Saccharomyces cerevisiae S288C: one gene and its partners. The protein of the gene in region 4 binds, or shares a complex with, the protein of the main gene of each other region. Each region holds a gene or a part of one and is shown on either strand. Other genes may lie near its edges. A codon is read from its position in the direction of its gene.

Region 1 (8,288 bases), on a different chromosome or scaffold from region 4:
GAAAGGGAAAGTACCAAGAATCAAAAATAAAGTGTGGTTTTCCCAGATAGAATACATTGTTCTTCGAAATTATGAAATTAAACCTTGGTATACATCTCCTTTTCCGGAACACATCAACCAAAATAAAATGGTTTTTATATGTGAGTTCTGCCTAAAATATATGACTTCTCGATATACTTTTTATAGACACCAACTAAAGTGTCTAACTTTTAAGCCCCCCGGAAATGAAATTTATCGCGACGGTAAGCTGTCTGTTTGGGAAATTGATGGGCGGGAGAATGTCTTGTATTGTCAAAATCTTTGCCTGTTGGCAAAATGTTTTATCAATTCTAAGACTTTGTATTACGATGTTGAACCGTTTATATTCTATATTCTAACGGAGAGAGAGGATACAGAGAACCATCCCTATCAAAACGCAGCCAAATTCCATTTCGTAGGCTATTTCTCCAAGGAAAAATTCAACTCCAATGACTATAACCTAAGTTGTATTTTAACTCTACCCATATACCAGAGGAAAGGATATGGTCAGTTTTTGATGGAATTTTCATATTTATTATCCAGAAAGGAGTCAAAATTTGGAACTCCTGAAAAACCATTGTCGGATTTAGGATTATTGACTTACAGAACGTTTTGGAAGATAAAATGTGCTGAAGTGCTATTAAAATTAAGAGACAGTGCTAGACGTCGATCAAATAATAAAAATGAAGATACTTTTCAGCAGGTTAGCCTAAACGATATCGCTAAACTAACAGGAATGATACCAACAGACGTTGTGTTTGGATTGGAACAACTTCAAGTTTTGTATCGCCATAAAACACGCTCATTATCCAGTTTGGATGATTTCAACTATATTATTAAAATCGATTCTTGGAACAGGATTGAAAATATTTACAAAACTTGGAGCTCAAAAAACTATCCTCGCGTCAAATATGACAAACTATTGTGGGAACCTATTATATTAGGGCCGTCATTTGGTATAAATGGGATGATGAACTTAGAACCCACCGCATTAGCGGACGAAGCTCTTACAAATGAAACTATGGCTCCGGTAATTTCGAATAACACACATATAGAAAACTATAACAACAGTAGAGCACATAATAAACGCAGAAGAAGAAGAAGAAGAAGTAGTGAGCACAAAACATCCAAGCTTCATGTAAACAATATCATAGAACCGGAAGTACCTGCTACTGATTTTTTTGAAGACACTGTTTCCTCCTTAACAGAGTATATGTGTGATTATAAGAACACAAATAATGATAGATTAATCTATCAAGCGGAAAAAAGAGTGCTGGAAAGCATCCATGATCGCAAAGGGATACCAAGATCAAAATTTAGTACAGAAACTCATTGGGAGCTCTGCTTCACTATTAAAAACTCCGAAACACCACTTGGAAATCATGCAGCTAGGAGAAACGATACTGGAATATCAAGTTTAGAGCAGGATGAAGTAGAAAACGATGTAGATACTGAATTATATGTAGGTGAAAACGCCAAAGAAGATGAAGACGAAGACGAAGACTTTACCCTTGATGATGACATTGAGGATGAGCAAATATCAGAAGAAAATGATGAGGAGGAAGACACATATGAAGAAGACAGTGATGATGATGAGGATGGGAAGAGAAAAGGACAAGAGCAGGATGAAAACGATATAGAAAGCCACATAAGGAAGGAGAGAGTCAGAAAAAGAAGAAAAATAACTCTAATAGAGGATGACGAAGAATAAGCGGCGATGGGTATATATTGGATATAAGCATATACATGTAACATTATTAATAGCAATAAGAACCCTTGTAGTCAATAGTATTACAGAATTCTCCTACGAATAAATTTTATGTGTATATATAAAGATATATATGTGTGTGTGTACATGTGTGGGTGCGATTAATTTGTACTCATTAAACGAATAGTCAAAACAAACTAAATTCGTCTCTTAGCTTAAAATATATTTTTAAAGATAGAATTTATACCTGGAAGTTCATCTTGCTCATTGCGTATGTCATTTGCGCTGGTCATAGAAGAAAGCTCACTAGACTTTGGATTATCATGTTTAGCCTCTAACATACCGTAATTTTGCGATTGCTGCGATGGCGTGTTAATGCCATTCTCCTTGTGCAGTGGGTCAATGTCATCCTCCTCCTCCTCGTCTTTGCATCCTTCATTTGTATGAAAACCACTTACACGTCCTTTTCTCTTTAAATAATCCATTCTTTGTTGGATTTCCAACTCGGATCTATTATTAGGCAGAACAATAGAAATTTCTAGCGGCGACAAATGGTTTTGTTTGTCCTTCGTATTGTTAAGTAGCACTTCATCATCTTCTCTAGACCACGGGTGTTTATTAGCGAATTTTTGCATATCTAAGAAAGTCCTCGTGTGCGTGATTTTGTCATTTGCGTGGTCTGTCTTGCAGTTGGGAGACGCTATGGGGTTAAGATAGTATTGGTGCTGTGGATGATAATGAACGGATTGCGATGTAGATAACCTTCTGGGTGACATATACGGGCTAACTACCAAGGAAGCTCTTCTAGAAATAGGCTCCGTAGGAGCGTGAGAGTTGAAGGATGATCTTCTTGAATGCATCATGTTAAAAGATGATCTTCTAGAAGAAATTACGGAATGCGAGTTTTTCCTAGTCTTCGTCGTTGAATGAGGGATTTGAGTTGAAGGAATAAAGGAGTTCCTTCTAGACCTGATAATAATTTTAGGCACAAGACCAATATTCTCATAATCATTGGAATTAACAGCTTTATTTGTCTTTGCTGAAGTAGTGTTATAAAGGCTTAGATTTGTCTGCTGAGCAGTCTTTACATTAGGCGTGTTGGTTGTTATAGAATGAGAGAAGGACCTTGGCTTAACAAACAGTTTCCTTGGTTTCGTGTGTTGTGGCTCATGGTCCGAAAATGTTGATGTAGATCTTTGAGTTATCAGTTTTCTGTCCATGTATTTAGGCTTAACTAATGGCTTGAAATCCGGTGGAGAATCCTCGATAGCACTAGAACCTGCAGTAATATCTTCATCCTCAACAGCTTCCTCTTTTACGGCTTCTTCCGCAGACGGAGTACCCGCGGATGGGGTAGCATCACCAGTCGCATACACGCCGAATAGCTTATTGATGTCAATAACTGCGGTCTTGTTAGACTTTAAGTTGCCTGATTTCAGTCTCCTCCATCTGAATTGACAAGCGTTAGGAGTTCTATTTGGGAAATGATGTGCAATCTCCTTCCAGCCCAAGTTCTTGATCTCTTTCAGGTGGCGGAGCTTGATATCATCACTAGGGTCCCAAGAAGAGGGGTTGTTTTTTTTGAGTGATTCCGCCTCCTCCTTGTTCGTGCTGTTCTCTTTAGTGCTAGTGCTACTGATAGGCAGGTGGCTCTTCGCATTTGTGTGAGAAAGTGAGTGGGAATGGACAAGATTATTTGGGTGAGGGTGTTTGCTTAGTATTGAGAAACCATGTGAGTTGGCACTAACATGTCCTGATGAAACAGAAACGCTACTGAGTTTCGGCAACGTCATCGCGAGGGAACTTCAATAAGAACAGTGATATATTCTTTTCTCTACCCACTGTCGTGTATATGCCTTCTTGAGTGAGTAGTTTTAATGACTCAAGCAGTGGAGATTTGCCAGATTTGTTTACCTGAAAACAAAATGATATGAAAAGCCTTTATTAATATCAACGTACAAAAACTATACACGACTTCTGTGTAAGGAAGTAGAAAAGTGTCTCATCGCATTGGTCTCGCATCTCATCGCATCGCATCTCATCTCAATTTTCAAATTTCAGCTCTCAGCAGAGAAAAAATTTTTTTTTCACCGGACCAAAAATAGCCTCTCTCACCCACAGATAACGTCGCACACTAACAAGATGATGAGACAAGATAGGCCAAACCGCTCAAAAAGGAACTCGAAGAAGAACGGAAGTGGAGTTTAACTTTAGAACCTAACTGCTACTAAGTGTTGATACGCTAGGCAAGACACCTGCGAAATCCCGCTGCGAAATACCTGCAAAGAGGTTGCTAAACAGCAGCCAGAAGACTTGCGCTAGTAACGTTCCTGAAAAGCTTTGCACTGCAGGCATTTCTGAGCCTTTTCCGGCCTTCTAGAAGGCTTAGCCCCTACTAACGCCGGGTTACTTAGAACAGCACTCTTCTAAGAACAATCTTTCCAGCATGCTGGAAGGGCCCAGTGGTGATGTCCTGGTAGCAATGGACAACTAAAGGTGGACACTTTCGCTGCCAAGGCATTTTTTTGAGGCGCCAGTACTGTTATAGTTATATGTGGGGCATCTTATTGAAATCCTCGAACAAAAGTTGTTCTAGGCTCTGGAAACCAATTTTGACACAATATTATAGCATGACATCAACTGCCACGGATTCTCCGCTGAAATACTATGATATTGGATTGAATCTGACAGATCCTATGTTTCACGGTATTTACAATGGTAAGCAGTACCATCCAGCAGATTATGTAAAATTATTAGAGCGTGCTGCTCAGAGGCACGTGAAAAATGCCCTTGTTACAGGATCATCCATAGCGGAGTCTCAAAGTGCCATTGAGTTGGTAAGCAGCGTCAAAGATCTTAGCCCGTTAAAGCTGTATCACACAATAGGTGTTCACCCATGTTGCGTTAACGAGTTTGCGGATGCTAGTCAAGGGGACAAGGCTAGCGCTTCTATTGATAACCCTTCCATGGATGAAGCATATAATGAGTCTCTATATGCTAAAGTTATTAGTAATCCATCTTTTGCACAGGGTAAACTGAAAGAGCTTTATGATTTGATGAATCAGCAAGCAAAACCTCATGATACAAGTTTCAGGTCAATTGGTGAGATCGGGTTGGACTACGACAGATTTCACTATAGTTCTAAAGAGATGCAAAAGGTTTTTTTTGAAGAGCAACTGAAAATAAGTTGTTTGAACGATAAACTCAGCAGCTATCCATTGTTTCTGCATATGAGAAGCGCATGTGACGATTTTGTTCAAATATTGGAAAGATTTATTGCCGGGTTCACTGATGAGAGGGATACCTTTCAGCTACAAAAGTTAGGTGCATCGTCGTCTAGCGGGTTTTACAAATTTCATCCAGATAGAAAACTAGTGGTCCATTCATTCACTGGTTCTGCGATAGATTTGCAGAAATTACTGAACTTATCACCCAACATCTTCATAGGAGTAAACGGTTGCTCGTTGAGAACCGAGGAAAATCTAGCTGTTGTAAAGCAAATACCAACAGAAAGGTTGTTATTAGAGACAGATGCTCCGTGGTGTGAGATTAAAAGAACGCATGCATCTTTCCAGTACTTAGCCAAATACCAGGAGGTTAGGGATTTCGAATACCCTGCATTCAAGTCCGTTAAGAAAAATAAGCTCGCTGACAAGTTGAATGCAGAAGAACTTTACATGGTCAAGGGCCGTAATGAGCCTTGTAATATGGAACAAGTAGCAATTGTCGTATCGGAAGTCAAGGACGTGGATCTGGCTACTTTGATAGATACCACGTGGAAGACGACCTGTAAGATATTTGGAGAGTAACATCTATTGGTGCAAAGAGCAAAGTTACATTATTTTTAGTAAGTACACTAATTATGCTTAAACTATTAATAGGAAAATTATGGTGCGCATATACATACAGTCGATATTGCTTTCATTTTTTTTTTTTTTTTTTTTCTATTTTTTTCATCAAAAAGGATTCAAAGGTTACCAACAAAATAAAAACAGAGTAAGGAAAAACAGATGTATCTATATGAATAGGATTTATAAATTCTGTTACAATTTATCATTCTCTCGTAATGATTTTTATGAATTTCACCATCTCCTCAATATGGGCCGCAAAGATGATCCAGTAAAAAACAATCCATCGGCAGAAGAGGAATAACAAATAAAGATAACAAAGTTTGACTACTCTTTCGTTGCAAAGTACGGTTCGACAATATTTATTATTCAATTTCTTCAATCTTGGAACCCTTCTTCGCATTTTCATTCTTGCCGTTTTCTTCGCCGTCGTTATCATCGTTATCATCAGCATCATTAGGTTCTGTTTCTCCTGCAGCCGCATTGCTTAAAGATGCCAACATATCTGATAAAGAAGCACCATGGAAATAAGAAGTGTTGCCGTCACTGTCGGAGCTGGGCCTCTGCCTTATTTGAATCCCGGCTTCTAATAGAGCCTCCAACGAAAACAAGTCAATAGGGCCAGTTCTATCCTCACCTGATAACTTTGAGGGAGTAGCACTGCTGCCTAATTCGGTATCAAGATCATCAATTTCCATGTCGTCATTATCTTTACTACGATTCAAGCGGTCTTGTAATTTTTTGGTGGTTATTGCGAACACTTCGTTATCATCATCCGAAAAATCATGGAAATCAAAAATACTTTTCCTTCTTTGGACAAAAGACGTTTGGATATTGTAATTTTTTGATCTCATACGCTCAAACCATTGTGACTCAGATTCATTTTCCTTTAGTAAAGCAACAATGGAAATACTCATATTATCACAGCCAATTCCTGAGCCTTCAGTTGTGGGTGAACAACAAACATCTACGATTCTAGATGAAATGTCGCTCAACGTCATATTACCTTGACTTATACCGTAGTGAACCAAGTCAACACACTCTTGAGAAGTTAAACAATCCCAAATACCATCACATGCTAAAATAACAAATTCATCCTCATCATAATTCAAATTGTGACAAATGATATCAGGAACACATGTAACGACTTGCTCATGAGGTCCCAATTTTGTGTTAGATTTGAATTCAAAATCACCTATGGCTCTTGATAACGCTAAATTTCCATTAACACGGTCCATCTCAACAAAACCATCAGCAGCTACAATACGAGATTTTTCACTTAACAATGTGGGCTTATGATCAAATGACATTGCTTTACTATTACCACCAGTAGATAGAACTGTTCTACTATCACCGGAATTGGCGCAAATTAGTAGCTTTTTCAATTGAGATACCAATATCACAGTTGCTGTACAACCACTATGGTCATCTTTTAATTTTTCATCTTTCAACAACTCAACATCTGTAGCTAAAAAGGTATCTATTAAGCACTGCTCTAACATACCGCTCTTGAAGCTCTCCTGTTTTTTCAGTATAGATATCATTTTAGAGCCACAAAACTCCGCTACAGAAGAACCACCATGACCGTCAAATATACCATAAAATGCGAGATGTTCCTCGTCAGACTCAGCCAAAAGGTTCGGCTCAACAATATGGGCATCTTCCATGGACATACGCCAGCCTTGCATGGCACATAGTCCAAACGCTGTCAAACAGTCCGTACCAGAATGATGCTCTTTGTCGATAATTGGATTGGACAATATTTGACCCATGTTATCTCTCTCTTTCTTCGATTTGTCTTCTTGGCCTTCTTCGTCTGCCTATAATAGAAACTTCAAAAAGTAAAATGAATATAGTCTAAAAACAGAAAGGGGCCTTCCGGTGGCAACAATCGAGCCAACAAGCTCTAAACACCTTTTACTCCTTTGAGTTTATTCTCTTGAGGGACAACCCATGTTGTTTTTTCTTCAACTCGCTGATATCACGCCTGACGAAAATAATGTTTAAAGGTTATTACTACTCTTCTAGAAGCTCTTAAGCATAAGAGCTAATTGTTTCTTGCTATATTACTTGTTGACAGCGGAGTAACATGATAACGTCTTTTTAATGGAAAAGATGACAGTTTCTTCGAATTACACCATAGCTTTATGGGCTACTTTCACCGCAATCTCCTTTGCCGTGGGTTACCAGTTGGGTACGTCGAACGCATCATCAACTAAGAAATCCTCAGCTACTTTACTGCGTTCTAAAGAAATGAAGGAAGGAAAGCTACACAATGACACTGATGAGGAGGAAAGTGAAAGCGAAGATGAGAGCGATGAGGACGAAGATATTGAGTCCACTTCATTGAATGATATACCTGGAGAAGTTAGGATGGCATTGGTGATTCGTCAAGATCTTGGCATGACAAAGGGCAAAATAGCGGCACAATGCTGTCACGCAGCATTGTCATGTTTTAGACATATTGCTACAAACCCCGCGCGTGCTTCATACAACCCAATTATGACACAAAGATGGCTAAATGCTGGACAGGCTAAAATAACGTTGAAATGTCCAGATAAGTTTACAATGGACGAGTTGTATGCGAAGGCTATATCACTTGGGGTGAATGCAGCAGTTATTCATGATGCTGGTAGAACACAGATTGCTGCGGGAAGTGCCACCGTATTGGGTTTAGGACCTGCTCCAAAAGCAGTATTGGATCAAATAACAGG
Region 2 (7,207 bases), on a different chromosome or scaffold from region 4:
ACAATAGGAAAAACGCGACGGCAGCAAATAATAAAATCAACGGAGAAATGATGGAGTAGGAGAAAGTAATAACTGCCAAGTTTGTATAAACTGGAAAAGCTGTCCCCCACTGCATACTGGATAGCCCACAAAAACGATTCCATTTCTTCCTAACGGTACCATCTAAAAAGGCACCTAAAACATAAAAGAGTATTAGTGGAACAATTTGCAAAAGAGCACCTGATGAAATGGACAGACCTTGTAGAATAACGTATGACATGAAAAAATTAGAAGCTTTTGGCAGATTAGAAGCCAGTAGATCCATAGCCTTCGTGGGCTCTTTAACAATTTCCGTTACTGTGGAAGTGGCGGCGGAGGATAGAGTGGTAACTAAAAAGACTTGGATAACTTGAAAGGCGAAATAAGCTTGTTGAGTGAAATATTCCACATTTTGCTTAGATGGAGCACCTTGAGTGATAGCCATACCCCTAATAAATTTCGGCAAGAAACTCATTAAAACGGCCAATGCCACAGTTGGGGCCAGAGATGTCAGTAAACCTAATAGTTGTTTTGGTAATTTATAGATGAACTTTAACCATTTAACTTCATTAGTCAAGGAAGTAATATTAGAGATCATACCAACAAAAGCCACTGGGAAAGCCCATAATATTACTAGCGCGACAATTGCTGAAACCGCACTGACTTCCCTACCTAATCTTTCCCACCAGAACATCCTCAAATTAAACCAAACGACATCGGATGGCTCAATACCAATATACACAGGCGTCATGAAAAGAGGAGCATGGTATGTGGTGATCTGAGCGGCAACTTGGGCCTGATATTGGGATTCAAACTCCACAAAAACGGAGTTGAAAGGGGATGAATTTTCATGATCTTCTTGTAATGCCTTCACCTTTTGGTTTAACTTGGGCAACTCCTCCTTAATGTAGGATATGGTGTCAACTTTTTTACCAAAAAAGAATTTAGCAACCTTGTTAATTTTATGATGTGGTCTTTTCTTGTCAGGGACATATTCAGCAATATTATCAGAGACAGATAATTGCGGACTTTTTTTGTTTAACTTCTTAATTTTTTTCAATGCTGCTTTCAGGTATTTTGTTTCAGCACCTTCCAATTGTATGGCCATATTGTCCCTTGCTTTGACCATTGCTTCAATTGAACCGGAACCTCTTGCGATCCAGACTCTTTTCACACCATCAAACAACTTAGAAAACTCTTCTTCACTTAAGTATTGCTTAGGGACAGTCTGGAATAACACGGTTCTCGAGGATAGTTTTTTAGCATAACGAGGGGACGCTAGTACAGCTTGCTTCATAGAGGTGTAAAAATACAATTCTCTGTAAATAATGTAAAGGAACCCCCAAAAGAAAATCCATCCACAGAAAACATGTGCAAAATATCTACCACGGTGCTTGACGTTCTGATAGGCCAATTGATTCAATCCGCTTTCATGGTTACCGTTACTGGCGTTAATGGACAACAAAATAGGGAATATATAACTCATGGAAACAGCACAGTAAATTGCAATGATGAAAAGGTACCTCAAAAAGAAATATCCATCCAGACCGGCTTGTTGAATGACAAAATTGTCTGATTTTTTCAATAACGGCTTCAGCCATTGCCAGACGCCCTGCGGTAGCGGTTCTGGCTTTTTTTCTTCATTAATCAGATTGAATGAGGATTTGGGCTCATAAATCCTTTTTAGTTTTATACGCAAAATCAAGAACGCTATGACAAAAACACCAAAAATAGTACCATTACTTACCAAAGAAGTAACGACTTGTTGAGTTGACGTGTTTGTACTGGTAGCTGTTGTAGTACTATTAGTACTATTAGTACTATTCATTTTGTCCCTTTGCCCTTGCTGCTAAGCCGTAAACTTATGATTACTAAAACAAAAAGAAACGGAAAAGGCAAACGAATTAATATATATAAGATGAAAAAGAAATAGAAAAAAACAACAAACCGAAATTTGATTACGAAATGGCCATTAATAATAATATTATACAACCAGGCACGGGACAACATCAAGATCGAGTGCCAAGCCATGCGGCTTTGCTGTTGGTTATCAAGTATTTTCTTCCTTTTCCACGATAAAAAAACAAAGATGAAGAATTTTTTTCCAACTTCAAAACCGAAGCTGGCCCACAGAATCCACACAGAAGAAACTTTATACCCGAAAGGAGAAGAAAGGGTGTGCCTTTCCCGCTAAAAAATCGTAGCCAGGAAAGGCCGCCCCTGTGATGTCAGCTGCGGGAAGTGATTCGCGCAGAACGACTCACGCAGACGGAACCGCAGCGATGCTGTGGTGCACGGCGGGTAACGGAAATAGAAGAAACGAACCCGTAGATCAGGTCTTACATTACTATAGCGTATAATGGAAGAAAAAAAATGAATTATCATATGTGCTGTTTGTCTGCATAACCCAAACGAGTATAATGGAAGAATTTGAAGAATTTCGAAGGAAAGGGGAGATGTCCAGCAGATGTGGCAATCACCGTGTGCTCAGAAAATGGAATAGTTGCGCTTGCGAGTTGGCCGTGCCCTTTGAGGTTCCTGAGCATGCGATTACGAAATTGCACATATACGACTTCGACAATACATTATTTGCAACGCCGGGTCCTACAGAGCAATTGTATACACGTGAGCTACTAAATTTGTTGACATCGAGCACGCTACCGAATGGAGGCTGGTGGAATGAGCCGGGGTTTCTGCAGGCTGCTATTGAGATCTCGAAGACTAAACCGAGAAGGTATTCGTGGAATGCGGATATCGTTAAATTGGCGGAGGAGTCATATTCTGCCAAGGATACTATCTCGATCGTTTTAACGGGCAGAGAGGAAAGTAAGTTCCATAAGTTGATTGAGCATGCTTTACAGACGGCAAGGAGCCATTGGAAATGCTCAGAAAATGAGTTTAGGTTCAATGCAGTTTGCCTAAAAAAAAGAGCAATTTCTGAGTACACTAGCAAATATAAAAAAGAGTTGATGCGGGATTTCTTAGAATATTATCCCTCTCTGCGGGAGTTGTCCATATATGATGATAGAATACACCAAATAGATGCATTCAAGTCTTTCTTCCATTCTTTGGATCTACCACGTCTGAAATGGTCTGCGATCCCCGTACGACCATTCACCAAATCGCTGCCAAGAGAGCAGGAACTTGAAATGGTGATGGACATGGTACGAAAGAACAATAGCCAAGCTCTCAGCACTTCACAAAAGTTTGATTTAAGACGGACTCCAAGACAAATTGGTTATATCCTTTGCACGGCATCTCATCGTCTATTATCAATAGAGGTCATCAAGTACTTAAAGCGGCGTAAGGGGAGAAGAACGTTCAGACCCAAGCTGTATGAACATCCCTTGTATATACCGTGCGCAGAACCCGGTAAAGATATCCCTGCACTTGAAATCGCTAAGGTATGGTCAAACAATGACACTCGCACGTTTGATTCTGAGAAGAAAGTACAGCATATTTCACAAATTTTTTATCTGGAACAGCCTGGGAAGTGCATCGTACACTTCCAAGTCACAGACCTTGCCGTCATCGCGTCGGCCCACCACAACAGAAGAAAGCCATTGGAGGTTTATTTCAAAGCCACACCCGAACCAAACAGATACACTTTCACTCTCTTTCCAGAATATATAGTCACTGGTCATTTTTACAAAAGAGACCGAATTGAAGATTTAGAAGTGGTAACAGAGCGTCTAATAAACTGCAAGGAAGATATTCACTGGGTTCCGTTAGACAATACAATACCAATAAAGGCATTTTTCGGGCGATTTGCCAAGTTGGCAGCAATACCGTGTTCCAATGCTTAATAATTACATTTTTTTCTTCCTTTTTTTGGGTTATTTATTTAGTCATTTTAAATAAGTAAACACAAAGATATACTTATGCGCATTATGGGCACACTTGCGTGTTCCCGACAAGCACTTAAGCGTTCAAGTCAGCAAACTTTGCAAATCTTTATCACTTTGCAATTTTGTCTCCAAATTCTTTCTGGCTTGCCAAACCAACAATCTCTTTCTCTCTTCAATGTCTAAGTCCTTAAAGCTTAAGTTACTCATATCTTCATTGAGATCCACATGGAATTTATCGAGTAGATTCTCAGCGCAAATCATGTTCTTCTTTCTGGGATCGTTAAACTCTCCGCCACCAGCAGCGTTATTATCAACAGCCGCATTGGCCCCCATTGGCGCCCTGGAGGGCTCAAACCCAGGTGGAAAGCTGAATTCATCACCACGCAAGTACCTTTCCACTGTTTCCTCGACTGAGCCTGTGTTTTCCAAACTATACCTAATTTGCTCAGGATGTAAGTTAGGGGCTAGATTTTGCACTGTTTCCACCATCTGAGTAGTCACGGGGTGACCTCCATTGACTCTACCAGTCCTTCTCAAGGCATTCTGCGTGGAGCCCTGAGGACGTCCGTGTGCGTTTACACCTGTAGCGGATAAGCGTTGTGCTGAGGGATGCTGATTACTTTGGAAGAATTTTTTCAGAAATATAACTCCAAACACAAGAATCAAAGTGATAAGCAATCTCGAATCCTCCATGGCCAAAAGAAAAAAGTTTGCGCGATCGTAGATTGTAATGCTTTATGGCGCCTTTTATAAGAAATAGGTTGATGAGTTGTCTATTCAATGCATCAATGACAGGCCCACCTCAGTTATATTAGATCGTTTAAAATGGCGCGACAGCTACCCGCACCGTATACAAAAAGGCATTAAACTAAATGGAATACTAGCAAATAAACAAGTGTTACTGTCCATTTTAACAATTACCACCTTAAAAGTTTACATAACTTATACACAAAAGGGCTGCCTCATCGTTTGATCAACCCCGAAATTCCATCTTGAATTTCTTCTTCTGGTTTTTTACCTTGTATATAAATTGCGGTATGCAATCTGTCTCTTTAATGGAATGCTCATCGAAATGCCTTCTCACCACGTTGGCCAGGTCTCTCTTATGTATCCTTTTATCGTGCTGCCCCTGTGTGTTCCTCTTGTATGAATAAGTCTTCGCGCCCAATTTGGAACCCAATAAGTATCCCTGCAGCGTCAGGTTGTCCGGTACGTCCAATTGAAAGTGGTCTTTATACCTTCTCAGGAACGCATCCGTATACTCTTCGAAATCCATTGGGTGACTCTTGGGGCGCAGATCAGGGTGGTTGTCGGTGATATGTGTCTCTATGAGATTCTTAATGTACTGCTGTTGTGCAGCTGTGAGTCTTTGCTTCCCATTGGTTCTCCCGCTGGAGGTAGGCCCGTTATTGTTATTGCTGTTATTGCTGTTATTATTATTATTATTATTGTTATTATTGTTATTATTGCTGCCATTGTTGTTGTTACAGCTGCCATTGTTGTTACTTGCGTAACCACCACCCTGAGTGGGTCTGCCTCTCGATTCCGTTTCAGCGTTTGTATTAACTGGCCTAGCCATTACTACTCAGTATATACCTATCCTTCGATTTGCTAAACTATAAAGGAATTGCATTATCACAATAGATACACAACCGCTTTTATATAATTTCTAAGTTAAAATCTGAAAATTTCACAGTATATAAAAAAGAGCGCTTTTTCCCTTCCGGAACGGCGTTGCCTTGCTAAAACACATGCATAGCAAGAAATGGTATACAGCAAGCCTACTTAATATATCTCATTACAGTGCTATGCTGCCACCTCAAAAGCGTTTCACTTGATAAATTTCTGAAAGTTTTCGTATACACGCAAAGCGGCTTGTGAGGCATCCAGTGTCTCGTCCCATGCTCGTGCGATTTGTGCATTCAAATACTGCAGCTGCTCTGTAAGGGCCTTTTGGTATGACGGATCTGGATTGTCAATAGGATAGTCGGTTTCAGTAAGTATGCAAGTTGAGGGCAAGCTCCTGACCAGGGCATCTCCCTCTTCTGGGTCCTTAAAATTAATCCATTTGGATAGGCTCACAAAAATACGATCCGGGGGAAACTTCTTGAGCCATTGGCCCAGAAGCGTTTCCTTGGAGCCTGTGTACGAATGTAAACATATCTTGACAGAGTGATACGTCAAGAGCTCTTCATTGCAGATATCGTTTAGTTTCCCGTGGCACTTTACATCGTGTATAGAGATGGGCTTGCTTGTGTGCCTTGCCAGTCGGCAAAATCGCCTGAATACTGTTTCTTGATGCGATAGTTTGACCTTCACTGTCGTAAGCCTTGCCTTCTCGTTCTGCATGTAGAAACCATTTGCAGGAAGTCTGAAGAGCTTATCAAGACCGATTTCTCCAATCACACTAACCAAAGTGTCGTTAAACTCTCTTTTTATATACTCTTCAAGATCTAGAGGTTCGGGAAGCACCTGAACCAAACTGTCGAACTGTTCTTCATTCTTATACTCCAGTACATCTTGATAGTGAGAAACCTTGTCGCGCCGACTTCCCACATAAAATAAGTGGCTGTACCAAGGATGCACACCAAATCCCACGCATATATCGTTTTTACTTGTGCTTCTGCCAGCCAATTTTTTCAAATTGTTCCAGTCATATGGGTTTGATGACATAACGCAACGCAACGTACCCTGGGACCCTCCATCATCACCGCAGAATGTGTTGTCTGGGTCGGTTATAACATGACAGTGGGCATCAACAAGTTTATTCATCTACTTCCTCAATGAACAGCGTAGTGTAACACCTAACCTCGATAGAGTTGCAATTGCCAGTCTTCTAAAAGGGCCCTTTCTTCCCTACGTAATCAATTGTCCTCCTGGGCTTCGCGCGGTGCCCCTGGAATTAATTAATCCCCTTCAGCACGCAGCAACGGCAACTCCAGGGAGCATCAAGTGGACGAGCAAACATTCAATAGTATTAAGTCTAAGACATAAGTTTTAAGTACCGTTGCTATTCCGCTTCATCTTTTATCACAATAAAACAGTACAAACGTTATTGCAGGTCCTGGCTTTATAATTTATTGCTTCCTATTCAAAAAACCACAGACTAATAACCACGGGCAACCTCAATGACTATTATCGTCGCTTCTTTATTCTTACCATATACCCCTCAATTCGAGGCTGATGTCACCAACTCGGATACTGCTAAGCTGGTTGAATCAAGTATGATCAAGGTAGACTGCAACAACCAGGAATTGAGCAACAACAAGCAAGAAAGAAGCAGTTCTGTAACTTCGGCAAGCTCTCATTATATTGGCTTACCTCAGGAGGCGCAAATTAAC
Region 3 (7,394 bases), on a different chromosome or scaffold from region 4:
CACAGCACACTAGCAAGGGATAATTCTCTTGAGTGACGATCGTTTGTAGTACATTAATTATAGAATGTTCAGTGAGACCGTCCCATGGATTATCGTCCTCACCGGCATCCGGGTTGATGGCTGCGAATTGTAAGTTTATTCTATGAGTATCACAAAACTCTAGGAGGGTATCTTGAGGTTCTTCGTTAGACAGCCATATAATTGTTTTCAGTTTTAGGTTTAGTAAAAAGGGGAAATTCACAGGTGAAGGCTGACCAGATCTATAGAGGTATCTTTCAACGGGACAGAAATTCAAAGGTGGAACGATACGTTCTTGTGGGGCATGTGATACCAAGACCTTTTCGCGACCAGATTCTGTTTCTTCATTGATATATATATGATCATCATCGTCGTCTTCTTCCTCGTCTTCGTCTTCTACTTCTTCTTCAGGTACGGATACGTTCTCTTCTGTGAGGCGGGACTCATCCTCTGGAACGTCCTCATATTCACCAACTTTAGATGTCATTCTAAGGGGAAAGAGAAGCTTGTTATTCCAGGTGGAACACCTCTTTCTTGTGAAAATGGATGTGATTGATGACTCTCTGCAATGTCCAATTTTATGTTATAGCGATGTTGTTTGTTTTTTCCTTTACCCGGCAACCATATGATATTGCCCAAAGTTTCCAATGTTAACAAGAATGAAACGGAAATAGCAAATGGCAATAAGCAATATAAAAACAGTCACTTTTTTATTTACTTTTGTATATATTTATAAATGTGTGTACTCGTTTCAACTTTATAGAGTTCTTTTCGTCTTAGCGTTTCTACAACTATTTCCTTTTTATTAACTTATAATACAACAGCCACCCGATCCGCTCTTGGAGGCTTCACTGGTGTTACCGCCGGGTGCAGCTTGCTGCTTCCTAGCCTGTTTAGCATTTGAAACTTGACCGGCCTTACTATTATTATTTACACGATTATTAACCGTATTAGCGCTTTGAGCGTTGGCCTGACCAGCTTGGCCCGTGGAATTGTCTATATTGGTGCGATCAGTTTGTGTCTTACCATTTGTCGCCTGGTTGCCTGCCAACCCTGTCTTACTCTCTATGCTTGCATTCCTGGCATTCACGACAGTTGTGCTACTGTTCACATTTTTACCGTTGGCAGCATTGCTCATCTTCCTGTGGCCACCGCTATTTCTAGGCACAGAGTTGGCACCGCTCCCTTTTGTATCTTGAGAAGTTTGCTTGGAGTTGTCATTTTCCGTCAAAGTCTTGTTGTACTTGCCGCCTTCGTCTCTAACTAAACGTGCTAGAGTGTAAAACGCCTCTTCCACGTTGATTGCTTGCTTAGCAGATGTCTCCAAGAAAGGAGCGTTCATTTGCTTTGCCATGTTCAACCCGTCCTGGTAAGAGACCTGTTTTTCGTTTTCTAAATCAGATTTGTTACCAACAACCACAATTGGAACATAGTCGGTATCTTTGACTCTCAATATCTGTTGATAGTAAGTCATAAGCTCATCAAGAGACGACTTGGACGTTATAGAGTAAACCAATAGGAATCCTTCGCCGTTGCGCATGTATTGTTCCCTCATAGCAGAGTATTCTTCCTGCCCTGCAGTATCCAAAATGTCCAATATAGACACTTCATCATCAATCACCACTTGCTTCCTGTATGAATCCTCAATTGTGGGATCGTATTCATCTACAAAGTGCGATTGGGTCAATTGTATGGTCAAAGCAGATTTACCAACACCACCACCACCAACGACGACTAGCTTGTACTCTCTTATGTTCGACTTGTTCAAAGGCATTTTTTTTTCTGTATATCTCCTTTCAATTCGAAAACGGTTAACTTGGTTTTTTTATCCGTAATTCTCTCGTATCTTTCTGCTCAAGTAATTTTCTCCTAGTTGATTAATATAGTGCAGAAGAGTCAGATAAAGAGTGGATGAATAAAATGGAAAAAAAACAAAAGCCGGATTGCGTTACGCTTGAAATGAGCGATTCTAGGCGATAAGAGAAGACAACGGCTAAAACTTAAGATGTTGGGGTACTATAAATGTTTACCCAGATTTTCGGTAGAAATGTTTGCTGATGTGAACCTTGTTTCCCGTTTTCCCAGATCCCCTTATTCCAGCTTTGTTTCGTCTTTGCTGTCATGTTCCGTTTAATTTCTGAAGGCCTGCCTAGCTTCACCGTCCTAAATGTCACGCTCCAGGCAGAGACATGGCGCAGGGGCGAGGCCAGGGGCAAAGGGGTCAGGCAGGAACCTCCAAGGGGGGCGAGGTGAATGAAAAGGTCCTTCTGAATAAAAAGCCTAAGCGATTAGCCACACCACCCACTGTACGGCGATTAGACTGAGCTGCTGGCGCTGCTACGCCGTGACAAGTCATTTCATCATTTATTACGTTTTATCGTGCCGTCATCACCATCGATTTGAATATTTTATCTAGACCGGTAGGGCCCAAGTATCTTGCAGATCCATTGATACGGCCACGCCCGTTAAAACGCTAAGATATATATATATGTAGCTAAGATATATATATATGTATATATTCGGTATTTAGTAGATATTTCCTTAAGGCGATATTCGCCCGAGAGCTATTTCACAGTTTTTTTTTGCAGTCGTCGCAATACCACTTGCCCTTAGGTAGAGTTTCGAGTCCAATACATGGCAAATGGAACCATTCTAGCTCACAGTCTGCGCCATCACACCCCACCATTTCCCCGTATGCCACTTGGTTACAGTAGCAGTAGAGCGGTTCGCCGTAGTCGTTGGTTTTTGGTCTTGATATCCTGCTGTTGTTGCTGTTTCCGACGCTGCTAACTCCCCTGGACGCTGTAGATGTACCTATCCTGCCATTATTGACGGCAGTTGCCGTGCTGATAGTGCTTGGTGAAACGGCTGTGGTGGCAACTCTCCTCTTGCGTTTTTTGGTCTCTGGATCGGCGTTGTTGGTATTGGCAGCGTTGGCTCTTTTTCTTGAGTTTGTGTTGTTACCAGTGTGGTCTTGGCTCTCGTGCCTGCTGCCTCCGTAGTTTGCGTCGTTCTTTGAGTCGTCTTGTTGGTGTGTGCTGGCGGAGTAATGTTCGCCCTGCCTCCTGTTGGCAGCCATGGCTTCTCTTCTTGATTCGCTCTTCAGTGCCTGCGACGATTTGCTGTTTGATTTGCTCTCTATTTTTTCCATTAGTTCATGATGGAGGTGCATTGCTGGATGGTTGTCCACACCCAGTCTTAAACCTCTAGGAATTTCTGTGTTCTTGATTGCGACTTCATACGCCAATTCTAACCGGGACGTCAATCTGTCTAGATTATCCAGCATAATGGATGAGACATGCATTTTCTCCTCCAGCGATGGCATCAGTTCTTCATAAATCTTGTTGATATTATTGAGCAGTCTTACTTGTGTTTGGTGATCTTTATTGAAGTCTTTCTTCAAGAACTTATCTATCCTCTCGTTCAAATTCGGCATAGAATGCACACATTTTGCATCTATTTCGTGTAGTAATGTTAAATATCTGGAGGTGGCCAGTGGGAATTCCTCCAGCACGTCAGTTATGTCGTTTAATCCAGGGAATAGGTTCGCTGGTGAACTCATTTGTACGTATTTCAGACTATGAACGTGGTTGCTGTTTGTGATACTGCAAGACTACAAACTTTTCTCCTTCCGGGTTCGTCCTGTTGTAAACGCCTAACTCTTTTCCTTAGGCTCCTTTTTCGTTTTTTCCCTAGCTCTTTCTTTCTTCTTCATGTGCATGCACTCTTTCCTACATATTTTTTTTTCAAGGGCATTTTTAACTTTCTTCGGAAATCGTCTAAGAATTGTAAACTATAATTGCAAATACGCGATTAGCTCTATCTAGAATACCGAAAAAAAGGTTTGCCACTCACAATTGGACGTGCCTCAATTATTTCAAGTATACGTCATTTGGGCTTTTGACTTGTAAAATATACTCAAATGAAATTCTGATTATACAAAGTTGAAACACGTAACACGCCATGTCAAGGTACGCGTAGAGGTAAGCAGATAATGCATGGACAATGTGCTGGGCGAAGAGGCGGATCTAATTACACATACTTGGGATCATCTAAGATTTCAGATGGTTATGTTAATGCTCACTTGTTCCACGCCTTTTTCCTTTCCTTCAGATAAGTAATCCGCATATCAATGTGAAAGAACTAACGGTTGTTGATGGACGTATCGTTGTCTAGCGATAAATAATGCTTTTTCTTCAACAAATAAGTGGTTGTTTGGCCGAGCGGTCTAAGGCGCCTGATTCAAGAAATATCTTGACCGCAGTTAACTGTGGGAATACTCAGGTATCGTAAGATGCAAGAGTTCGAATCTCTTAGCAACCATTATTTTTTTTCCTTTTTATCTGATTGCAGCGAGAACTTGGGAAATCAACCCAATATGTATTCCAAAATGTCAAAACACCAATTAAAGCATCTCTATATTGACAGATACAAAATATATTTAAGTATACATTCATAATTATTTTACTCGAATTAAAAAAGCCCACTTTTTGGAAACCTCCTTTTGTATTCTCATAACTATGTTTCTTTTTTTATTATTTTTTCTTAATATTATTTTCTTTAAGTATGACAAATGATGAGAATGATAGTTATCTCACTATTTAGTTGGTCTGGCTTGGAATTTCAAAAACAATTTGTTTGCCAGTCAACTTGTTGTAGACAGCTTGGAAAGATTCCAACTTGTAGTCGATTTGTTGAACATCCTTGGAGTCTAACAAAACCTTTTGGATCTTGTTACCACCAACCAAATATCTAACTCTTTTACCGACAATTTCAGTTGGGAAAACCATGTCTTCCAAAACCTTGTCGTGAACAGCAGTCAAAGTTCTGGATCTTGGTCTCTTTTGGACTTGTCTAGATGTTCTAGATGGTTTTGGCAAGATTCTTCTTTCAGCCAAGAAAATAACATGACGGTCAGGGAATTTCTTTTCCAATTCACGGGTCAATTTGGTTTGGACCTTATGGTATGCAGACAAAGCTGGAACTGGGACAAAAAGGACTAGTGCTTTCTTACCACCGGTGACATCAATCTAAACAATAAGAATCAAGCAGCGTTGAAATAAAGTTAGTAACTGAATTGGTTCATTCATAACAAAAAAGGGTTTGTGATTCTTCTCCTTGGGGTAAGGTCTTTTTCGCGTGCTTCTATTTTATTCATCGATATTGGTACTGACCAAGGAGGCCTTTATAGTTCAAAGGCTCATCGCAACGTTCATGGTATTGACAGCTCTCGGAATTACTATTTTTCTCGAACACATGAAAATTTCATACAGATACTGCTCAAAATCACTCTTTTTTGAAAAAATTACTGCAAAGAACCCCTTTAGAAGAAATCACAATGTTGCTGCTTCCAAATTATATAACTTTTAACATACTTCTCTGATAGATTTGATTTGCAATGGTCTCAAGTCAGCCTTTAGTTCTGGAGAGGAGCTTTCTAGATCGATGAAGGTCTTGGCGACTTGTAATTCCAACTCACTTGGAGCTTGGGATAAGATCTTGGATTGGACAGAGGACATTGGTCAGTTATGTGTCTAGTCTTTAGTGTGTTGGTTTCTCTTCTGTTTGTATATACAAAGTCAAATAACACATATTTTAACCATAATCAATAGCATTTGGTATTTCCCCCTCCGCGTATTATGAACGCCTAGTGAGCCCATTCTTCCCTAAAGCCAGGCTGGAAACCCAAACTGTGTGGAACGTGACTGAATTGCATTTGGTGAGTTACCAAGCAAAGGCTCGCAGGCTTGAACCACATTTTACCAGGGCGCTCGCTTTTTCCGAAATATTGAAATTAAGCAAAACAATAATGTACGGATTTAAAGAGGTACGGATGGAGACCGTAGAAAATTGACTTTTTTTTTTTTTTTGTTATTTTCTGTGCCTTTCGTAACTACTACTATGCAGAATGACAGGTAGTTGTTGTTTCGAATTGCTACTTTCACGCATTCAACTTGATCAACATTTCTCTCTGATGAAAGGTTGTGGAAAGTTTGGTCGTGTCTATAAGTAGGTGTTTTTTATTAGTTCTATATAAAAATGGAGAATGTTAATTTTAACCCACCCTAAAACAGTGATTAGGAGTGGTAATAATTTTTTGTTTAATGGATTAAAACTAAAGGTTCATCTGTACTTTCAGAAAGTAAGACACTAAAAATGGCAAGCTAACAACCATTAGCGGGTATTGCAGCATTAAGAAAAATGAAACACACTCCATTTGGATTGGCGCAGTTGTTTCTGGCGGCGTAAAACTGGCGGTGAAATATATAAGGGTAGTCATCGTTGGCAAGTTCCAGCTGATTGCTATAACAAATAGTAGCATTCTATCATCTTGCCAATTAACCCATCCAGCTTTCACTAACCGATCACACCATAGGACACCAAAAATTGGCATGACACATTGTCTCAAAATGACGAGTGTCACAGCGGCTTTCCAAAATCCAGGATAAAGGTTGCCAATCTTTAATCTTCCTAAAGTTGCTCCTAATAATATCAACCCAAATGGAACACATGCGGCACCGACATAACCTGTAAAATCCATGAAAAAGCTTAATGGTGGTGCATTGTCAGGAGCTTGGCTTATGTGAGGAGTATTAGCGGTAGTCACGAACAAAGCCTTGACCCATGGGATAAATGCAACAGTTAGGGCGATGATCACGGCCATAGAGCACGGTCTCAAACAATTCTTTAGGAAAAACACAAGTAATGGAGTTAATGAAAATTTTCTCATCCACTGTGGTAATGATTCGCCGGATGTTTCAATATCCTTTTTACTTACAGTGGCATCTGATGTTAAGATCCTGGTTAGGTTAGCAGTTTTTATAGTCTGTAAAGTGGAATTTGAGCTAATTGAATGCACATCATTCATATCAGCGCCGCGTAAACTGGAATTCCTCCTTTGATGACCATACTGGTCAACGTTGGAGTACTCTCTGATAAGATGGTGTATATTTTGAGAAGGTAATGCACGCATATCAATGGAGCGGATAGGTTCCAATGCCGCCATAGACATATTTTTTGGGCATTTTTCATCTAAACAGTTCTCTTCTAGGAGTGTGGTAGTATTGTAAGCTCTCGGCTGGCTCGCGGTTCTACGTGCTCTCATAGTATCTATGCTACTCTCATAACTCTCTGACGTATTATAAGAATGTATTGTTGAAGCAGATGATTGGCTATCTAATGGATTTGAACCACGAGTTGCCTGTGACTCTTCGCTTTGAGTGCACGCAATAGTATTTCTTGCCTTCACCTGAACTGGTTTTGTAATCTTTGAATTCGAAGAAGTGTCTGGTAGTGACAGGGGAGCTATACTATTTGTTGATCTCCTTGAAATTGGTGGTACGTCTGCGTTTTCACCCTTTGTACCTATAGCTTCA
Region 4 (7,664 bases):
TTTTCCCTTCGCATGTCTCCCTAAAGGCCGTTTCTTGAAATATCTTGGACAAAAGAAGGTAATGCTTTTATAAGTTAGAAGTGACCCCTTGGCCGAAGAATTGATGTAATTGAATTCTGAAATATTGAAAATAGTAGCTACATTGCCATCAAAACCTCCATGAGTTAAATATGAATTGTTATTAATGTAAACAAACTTAGATGTGGTCCGAAGACTGTTGAGTACACCGCCAGTTCGTAGATATCTGGAGAAGTTGGTAGACTCTTTTATAATTTTGTTCATACGTATAAATGTATAGAAAACACTGTATCTATTCAATTACTCTAAAATTTTCTCTTCTGATCTCTTCAATCACGTCTTTGTCCTTTATGGAGGGCTTGTAACAACCAGGGAATTCCTTCTCATATTCCCTGCCGTGAAGCAATTCAAAAAAAATATCCATGCAAGGGGTGGAGTGGTCTTCGATGTCTTCACCTTTCTTGGGGCACACGCATCGACATCCACATCCGAAGTTATAACCTTCATCGAAAGTGTTGAGATTTTCTTGGCTTTGTAAGGCATTCTTCGGACAATGCTGCAGCGATGAGTGTCTATAACCAATGTCTCTGAAATAATGAACGTCTTCTAGATCCAAGGTCATTCCCAACCCAATTGAATGAATTGGCGCGTCACCCCACCTTTCAGTCCAGAAACCTCCAGACTCTTCCAAAAATTTAAAATAGGCGTTATAGATCTCATTGTCGAATAAATCAACGCGGGCAATTTCAAAGTTACTCCAAAAATGACACAAATTGTAATCTTCCCCTTCAAGGGAATCCTCTAGCATTGGCACCTTAGAGCGGGCCCTTTCAACGAGATATTGTATACCTTCCAAATCTTCCTCATTATTGACTTGACCATGATTCTCTAGCAAAAAGTCTACCATCAACTTTTCTGTCAACTTTGGCTTTGCATCCCAGGGAAAATTGACCCACCTAGAAATTTCTTCATCATCTGTATCTAGAATATTATAATTAAATGTAAATAATTTCCACAACGTGCCGAGATTTTCCTTTAAACCTGCCGTTTTTTTTATAAAGCTTTTGGTTGTTCTGAACAAGTTGGGGACAGTCCAGTACAGTTCAGTTATAAGTACGGTAAACCCATATTTCTTGTTATGTTTGGCCATCTCGAAAAAGGGATCATACGAGATGTCACAAAAAAAGTCCACATCAGGTTCTATTCTCCAATACCATTCATACTTGGAAACTAATGGATGTTTATAAAAGATCCCGGAGTAAAATCGACACATCTTGTGATATGATTCCATATTACCATACATTATACCGCGATCGTTTTGGTCTTCTAATGAAGCCTTAAACTGCAATGAATTACGAACCTTAGCAGGAAACTCCCACATAATTTCATCAACAGTGCCAAACTCTACAGTGGCATTAGTTGCAGCTTGAATTTGGTCCTTAAAATGATCTGTAAAGGGGTCATCATTCAAGAAAACGTACGGATATTTGAACCACTTATTGAAATGGCCCTCTATACTTCTCATAGTTTTCAGTACGTCTTCTATTTCTTCGTTTCTCGTTAGCATAACGAAAGATGCGTTCATTTTGGAGTAAGCAGGATTTTGCAAGTACAGCTTTGTATCAGTGCAGCCCCGGAAAAATGGCTCGTCTTTGTCAGTCGAATAATCCTGTAAGGAATAAGGCAAATTATTTGGATCATGTACAATATCTTTTGCGAAAAATGGCCAGGTCCCCATACAGTAAAGTATGGCGAAGATACATCCTAAAAAGAGGAAACCATATCGTTTTTGTCGACACTTATCCAGCAAGAACCTTCTGACTTTTGGATTCAATCTTATAGCCATGCTAATTGCATCTAATTATGATGTATATTCTAGCCCTTCTTTGGTACAACTGTGCCTATAATCACAGATTGTTAGCCTGATGTATACAGTAAATTTTAGCCAATTTTTTTTTTTCGTTTTCCACTTGTATCCGAGAAAAGAAAGCAAAAACAAAAAGAGCTCACATTGAAATATAACCATCTAATGTAATATAATACAAAGTTAAAGTGGAAGGTTTGCAGCATAAAATAAATTAGTCAGACCTTAGTCTGAAAGGAGCCGGAGGCTGACCTGTTAATTCTCTGATCAAGGAAATATCCTCTGTGACCTCATCTGGTTTCAAAGACTGTAAAGGTGGAGCTGTTTTGGTGGAATATCGTTGAGCACCACGGTTTTTTTTCTTTTCATTCCCATTAGCATTGTCTTTGGGGTTCTTTTCGCCAAACAAAAATGCATATAGATCAGTACCTTCATTTATACCTTGTAGAAAATCTGAGTCAGAGTTCATGCCTGACTTGTAGGTTAGGTTGTTGAAATGGGGGAATTGCGACCCTTGTCTAGAACCATGGCCATTACTTCCAGAACCATTACCAGTTTGAAAATCAGATTCATCTTGATTGTTGTTGTTACCTCTCGTGTCTTTAGAAGCATTCCTTCTCCTTAGCGTTCTTCTATCGTTTCCAGCTCCCGTGTCAGTAGCACTTTCGTTTGCTGTATCTCTTCCATATTCGTTGGACGAAGAATCCCAACCACTTACTGTGTGACTTCTCGTGTTCTTCTGGTATTGCGGTCTGCTATAATTCATGGCATAGGAGTGCACATTGGCCACATCCATTAGTAACCTCTCCTCCTGTAATTTCTTTATTTTTTGCTCTATAGACGAATACAGTCTTTCTTTGCATAATTTAATGAGTTTCTCGTGTTCAGCCTTAGCCTTTTCAATATCTTCTTGAAATTCGATACCGGAACGAGAAACACGGTACTCTTCAAACAGGCGCAACCTGACTAACTCTAGATCTCTTTCTTCCTCCAAATCTCGTACTTGGCGGGCATATTGGCCATTATCACCTTGATGCAGAGAAGTTAAATCCGTTTGCAATGCTGTCAGTCTATCTTTATATTGATTATCTCTTTCTGAGTAAAAATTTTGATAAATCTTATTAACTTTAGATTCGATATTAAATCTTCTTTTGTCCTTGCGGGACAAGTCCTTGTTACTAACCTTTTGAATAGCCATCAATCTTGAAGACAATGCACACTGAGCTCTACAGTTTCTCTTGTTCTCTTAAAGCTTTTCCAAGGGTTCATTTTAGCTGAAAAATTGTTTGCGTTTTTTCTTCCTGAAATCTCAAGCGAAATGATCAATACATAAGCTAAATTAAATAATGAGAAAAAAGATACCTGAAAACATAATTAAGGCATAGAAGAAAAAGATTTGATAAAAGATAAATTTTCAGTTCAATAAAAAGGTTTACATACATCTAATTTTTTTTTTTGACGCAAATTTTTTTGATTACAGACAAGAGCTATGTTTTATTTCGTAGCTAGCTTAGTTTTCGAATGCGCCACCCATTTGTCATGGCGTGCGATGACTTCTGGGATTATCATCTCTTCAATGCTATGGTGTTTTTCATCCAAACGTACCCAATCTCCCTTTCTGTTTTCAGGGGATACGAAAATGACCTGTTTGTTTCTTGTCTGTAAAAGGTTTCCGATAACCAGTTGATGGTTGTATCTATCCAGGGCTTGTGTACATTTGTAAAGCAGCATGGATTCATCAGTTTCTAATTTGAACGAAACGATCATCGCTTGAGTGGCCCATGATTCCACTAATCTTCTCAAAAACTTAGGGACAGGGTCAAGATTCACAATCAGTTTACCATCAGGCGTAGTCCTAGTTGTACCTTCAGTGTCATTATTTGCTCCCATCTTACCGTTGTCTCCTGATTGAATCTTGTGCTGAGGTAGTCTTGAATATGGAACAAAAAAATCACTGACAGCAGCAGCTAAATAAAACAAGCAACCACTATTATTCAATAGCTTGGCTATACTTTTCAGTGACCATAAGTATTGGTTGACCGTGGTGAATGGTAGTAAAAGTAGTTTCTCCTCTTTCTCCATATACTTGTCATAAAGCTTTTTGTTCTTCAAAACATTCTCAGCAAATTCAGGTTTGATTTTACCTTCAGAATCAATGTAGTCCAAGAATAAAGTATTAATGCTATGGGAGAAGGACCTATTATACGGAGTTAATGAGAATTCCCTATGTAAGAAAATAACACTATATCCGTTCGCTAAGAACTGTTCAGCACTCGATGCACCACGAGTACCTGCAGAAAAATTATCGATAAAACGTACTGTATTGTTTTCCAATGGAACAGTAGTACCACCAGAGGTGATAAGAACTATTTTGTTCCTTTTCAGGGAATACTGCAAATCAATAAACTCTTTAGCGTCCTTAATCAATTCATCGATATAGGCAGGTTTAGGGTTAGTTTTGAAATATTGCTCTTCTTCAGTAGTGTAGGCAACGGGAAAGAGCTCTTCCTTGATTGTACGATCAATTGCATGACTTATTTCAGTAACAGACGTATGAATTTGAGGTCTGTTGAGCACGGGTAGAGGTGGCATTGCTATAGTATGAAGAAAAAAAGGAGTGTCTGCTGCTAATCTACACAGTTTATGACAACTAATAAAAGCGTTGTGTGCGTAATTGTCTTAGCCTCTTATACAGATGTCCTGTTGATGACAATGCCTTTAAAAAAAAAAAAAAAACGTTAACAATAGGTCACTCCTCCAGTTTTTGTCGTTTGGCGAATTCGGGTCATCGAATTCTTCCCTTGCCAATAAAGTTGGTGGAAAATACCCAAAACATCGCCTACATATCAAATCCGCAGATTTCAGGCACGCAATTTAGAGCCTACCATCTGTTCATAGTTAGGTTAGGCCATAGGTGGTCATCGTCGCCTCTACTTTCTTAGCATAATCAGGTTTTTTTCTTGATTTTTTTATCATAAATTGTAACTCCGATTTAAGTAGAAGTGAAAAAAAAAATACCCTGTTAATTGTCACAGCATCACTTCTTCCTGTTACTTTCAAAGCTGTAAAGTGTTAGCATCTTTGTGCAAGAAGTAATAAGAATTTAATTGTTAACAGGGTTTGTAGCACTGGTATACGTTTTTCCATATCATGGAACATGTTGTATCTCAAAATGAGATATGTCAGTATGACAATACGTCACCCTGAACGTTCATAAAACACATATGAAACAACCTTATAACAAAACGAACAACATGAGACAAAACCCGACCTTCCCTAGCTGAACTACCCAAAGTATAAATGCCTGAACAATTAGTTTAGATCCGAGATTCCGCGCTTCCACCACTTAGTATGATTCATATTTTATATAATATATAAGATAAGTAACATTCCGTGAATTAATCTGATAAACTGTTTTGACAACTGGTTACTTCCCTAAGACTGTTTATATTAGGATTGTCAAGACACTCCGGTATTACTCGAGCCCGTAATACAACACCTGGTAGCGTTAAAGGTTACTAATTGTTCAAACGAACCATCGAAAAGCCGAACCTAGCTACACCACACCCCAGTATGAGCTTTATGGATCAAATCCCAGGAGGAGGAAATTATCCAAAACTCCCAGTAGAATGCCTTCCTAACTTCCCGATCCAACCATCTTTGACCTTCAGAGGTAGAAATGACTCGCATAAACTGAAAAACTTTATCTCCGAAATAATGCTAAACATGTCTATGATATCTTGGCCGAATGATGCCAGTCGTATTGTGTACTGCAGAAGACATTTATTAAACCCCGCTGCTCAGTGGGCTAATGATTTTGTACAAGAACAAGGTATACTTGAAATAACATTCGACACATTCATACAAGGATTATATCAACATTTCTATAAGCCACCAGATATCAATAAAATCTTTAATGCAATCACGCAACTTTCCGAAGCTAAACTTGGTATTGAGCGTCTCAACCAACGATTCAGAAAGATTTGGGACAGAATGCCACCAGACTTCATGACCGAAAAAGCTGCCATAATGACATATACTAGGCTATTGACAAAGGAAACCTATAATATTGTCAGAATGCACAAACCAGAGACATTAAAAGACGCCATGGAAGAGGCTTACCAGACAACCGCACTAACTGAAAGATTCTTCCCAGGATTCGAACTTGATGCTGATGGAGACACTATCATCGGTGCCACAACCCACTTACAAGAAGAATACGACTCTGACTATGATTCAGAAGATAATCTGACCCAGAATAGATACGTCCACACCGTAAGGACAAGAAGATCTTACAATAAACCAATGTCAAATCATCGAAACAGGAGAAATAACAACGCATCCAGAGAAGAATGTATAAAAAATCGGCTATGCTTCTATTGTAAGAAAGAGGGACATCGCCTGAACGAATGTAGAGCACGTAAGGCGAGTTCTAACCGATCTTGAACTCGAATCAAAAGACCAACAAACTCTTTTTATCAAAACCTTACCAATTGTACACTATATCGCCATCCCCGAGATGGACAATACCGCCGAAAAAACCATAAAAATACAAAACACGAAAGTAAAAACCCTGTTTGACAGTGGATCACCCACGTCATTTATCCGAAGAGATATTGTAGAACTTCTCAAATACGAAATCTACGAGACCCCTCCACTCCGTTTTAGAGGATTCGTAGCCACCAAATCCGCCGTTACATCCGAAGCAGTCACCATTGACCTCAAAATCAATGACCTGCAGATAACTTTAGCCGCGTACATACTGGATAACATGGACTACCAATTGTTAATTGGAAATCCAATCTTACGCCGCTACCCGAAAATCCTGCACACAGTACTGAATACCAGAGAGAGCCCCGACTCCTTAAAGCCCAAGACTTATCGCTCCGAAACCGTTAATAACGTTAGAACCTACTCCGCTGGTAATCGTGGTAACCCCAGAAACATAAAACTGTCTTTTGCCCCCACCATTCTCGAAGCAACTGACCCGAAATCCGCTGGTAATCGTGGTAACCCCAGAAACACAAAACTGTCTCTTGCCCCCACCATTCTCGAAGCAACTGACCCGAAATCCGCTGGTAATCGTGGTGACTCCAGAACCAAAACCCTGTCTCTTGCAACCACTACTCCTGCAGCAATTGACCCGCTTACGACCCTTGATAACCCAGGTAGTACTCAAAGTACATTTGCGCAATTCCCGATACCTGAAGAAGCGAGCATCCTAGAAGAGGATGGAAAATACTCCAACGTTGTCTCAACCATTCAGAGTGTAGAACCTAATGCTACTGATCACAGCAATAAGGACACCTTTTGCACTTTGCCAGTTTGGTTACAACAGAAGTATAGAGAGATCATACGTAATGATCTCCCACCAAGACCTGCCGACATTAACAACATCCCCGTAAAACATGATATTGAAATTAAACCTGGCGCAAGACTACCTCGACTACAGCCATACCATGTTACAGAAAAGAATGAACAAGAAATCAACAAAATAGTTCAAAAACTGCTCGATAACAAGTTCATTGTTCCCTCAAAGTCGCCCTGCAGCTCCCCTGTAGTCCTCGTCCCGAAGAAAGACGGTACCTTCCGACTCTGCGTCGATTACCGCACCCTGAACAAAGCTACCATCTCCGACCCATTCCCATTACCCAGAATCGACAACCTATTGAGCCGTATTGGAAATGCCCAGATATTTACCACGCTAGATTTGCATAGTGGTTACCACCAGATCCCGATGGAACCCAAAGACCGCTACAAAACCGCCTTTGTCACCCCATCC

Evidence for each region.
Region 1: SDS3 (region 4) and TOD6 share a complex: the UniProt entries of both Saccharomyces cerevisiae proteins name them as parts of the RPD3C(L) complex.
Region 2: the proteins of SDS3 (region 4) and SAP30 are in contact, whole or in part, in a cryo-EM structure (PDB 8HPO), measured with the Saccharomyces cerevisiae proteins. Residues at the interface, in NP_012182.1 of Saccharomyces cerevisiae: Ile21 (codon at 3,020), Lys24 (codon at 3,011), Val25 (codon at 3,008), Ile28 (codon at 2,999), Tyr29 (codon at 2,996), Phe32 (codon at 2,987), Arg36 (codon at 2,975), Gln39 (codon at 2,966), Tyr40 (codon at 2,963), Arg43 (codon at 2,954), Arg64 (codon at 2,891), Arg67 (codon at 2,882), Asp68 (codon at 2,879), Glu70 (codon at 2,873), Glu71 (codon at 2,870), Glu72 (codon at 2,867), Arg73 (codon at 2,864), Asp74 (codon at 2,861), Leu75 (codon at 2,858), Val78 (codon at 2,849), Arg81 (codon at 2,840), Leu82 (codon at 2,837), Pro321 (codon at 2,120), Phe322 (codon at 2,117); in NP_013990.1 of Saccharomyces cerevisiae: Gln76 (codon at 5,220), Tyr79 (codon at 5,211), Arg113 (codon at 5,109), Asp117 (codon at 5,097), Asp125 (codon at 5,073), Leu127 (codon at 5,067), Thr128 (codon at 5,064), Gln130 (codon at 5,058), Gly131 (codon at 5,055), Leu133 (codon at 5,049), Leu134 (codon at 5,046), Leu138 (codon at 5,034), Gly139 (codon at 5,031), Thr142 (codon at 5,022), Tyr143 (codon at 5,019), Ser144 (codon at 5,016), Arg147 (codon at 5,007), Asn148 (codon at 5,004), Asp154 (codon at 4,986), Arg156 (codon at 4,980), Thr178 (codon at 4,914), Pro182 (codon at 4,902), Gln183 (codon at 4,899), Ile185 (codon at 4,893), Tyr186 (codon at 4,890), Lys189 (codon at 4,881), Asn190 (codon at 4,878), Phe195 (codon at 4,863), Lys196 (codon at 4,860), Met197 (codon at 4,857).
Region 3: SDS3 (region 4) and PHO23 share a complex: the UniProt entries of both Saccharomyces cerevisiae proteins name them as parts of the RPD3C(L) complex.

Annotation. Positions count from the first base shown.
Region 1 is NC_001134.8:112,820-121,107, reverse strand, and holds TOD6 (Tod6p), read right to left. Parts: upstream 3,520-8,288; coding exon 1,942-3,519; downstream 1-1,941. Other genes in the region: SAS3 (histone acetyltransferase), read left to right, coding at 1-1,729; YBL055C (3'-5'-exodeoxyribonuclease), read left to right, coding at 4,279-5,535; type 2C protein phosphatase PTC3, read right to left, coding at 5,940-7,346; PTH2 (aminoacyl-tRNA hydrolase), read left to right, coding at 7,681-8,288. UniProt on the Saccharomyces cerevisiae protein: Component of the RPD3 histone deacetylase complex RPD3C(L) responsible for the deacetylation of lysine residues on the N-terminal part of the core histones (H2A, H2B, H3 and H4).
Region 2 is NC_001145.3:793,157-800,363, reverse strand, and holds SAP30 (Sap30p), read right to left. Parts: upstream 5,446-7,207; coding exon 4,840-5,445; downstream 1-4,839. Other genes in the region: RSN1 (Rsn1p), read right to left, coding at 1-1,846; YMR265C (uncharacterized protein), read left to right, coding at 2,439-3,824; CUE1 (Cue1p), read right to left, coding at 3,948-4,559; YMR262W (putative endodeoxyribonuclease), read right to left, coding at 5,697-6,638; TPS3 (trehalose 6-phosphate synthase/phosphatase complex subunit), read left to right, coding at 6,995-7,207. UniProt on the Saccharomyces cerevisiae protein: Component of the RPD3C(L) histone deacetylase complex (HDAC) responsible for the deacetylation of lysine residues on the N-terminal part of the core histones (H2A, H2B, H3 and H4).
Region 3 is NC_001146.8:438,779-446,172, forward strand, and holds PHO23 (Pho23p), read right to left. Parts: upstream 3,581-7,394; coding exon 2,588-3,580; downstream 1-2,587. Other genes in the region: putative tyrosine protein phosphatase OCA1, read right to left, coding at 1-505; Ras family GTPase RAS2, read right to left, coding at 824-1,792; PLS1 (Pls1p), read right to left, coding at 2,019-2,141; 40S ribosomal protein eS7 RPS7B, read right to left, coding at 4,620-5,048, 5,394-5,537; YNL095C (uncharacterized protein), read right to left, coding at 6,134-7,394. UniProt on the Saccharomyces cerevisiae protein: Component of the RPD3C(L) histone deacetylase complex (HDAC) responsible for the deacetylation of lysine residues on the N-terminal part of the core histones (H2A, H2B, H3 and H4).
Region 4 is NC_001141.2:200,180-207,843, forward strand, and holds SDS3 (Sds3p), read right to left. Parts: upstream 3,081-7,664; coding exon 2,097-3,080; downstream 1-2,096. Other genes in the region: YIL086C (uncharacterized protein), read right to left, coding at 1-282; KTR7 (putative mannosyltransferase), read right to left, coding at 311-1,864; phosphopantothenate--cysteine ligase CAB2, read right to left, coding at 3,377-4,474. UniProt on the Saccharomyces cerevisiae protein: Component of the RPD3C(L) histone deacetylase complex (HDAC) responsible for the deacetylation of lysine residues on the N-terminal part of the core histones (H2A, H2B, H3 and H4).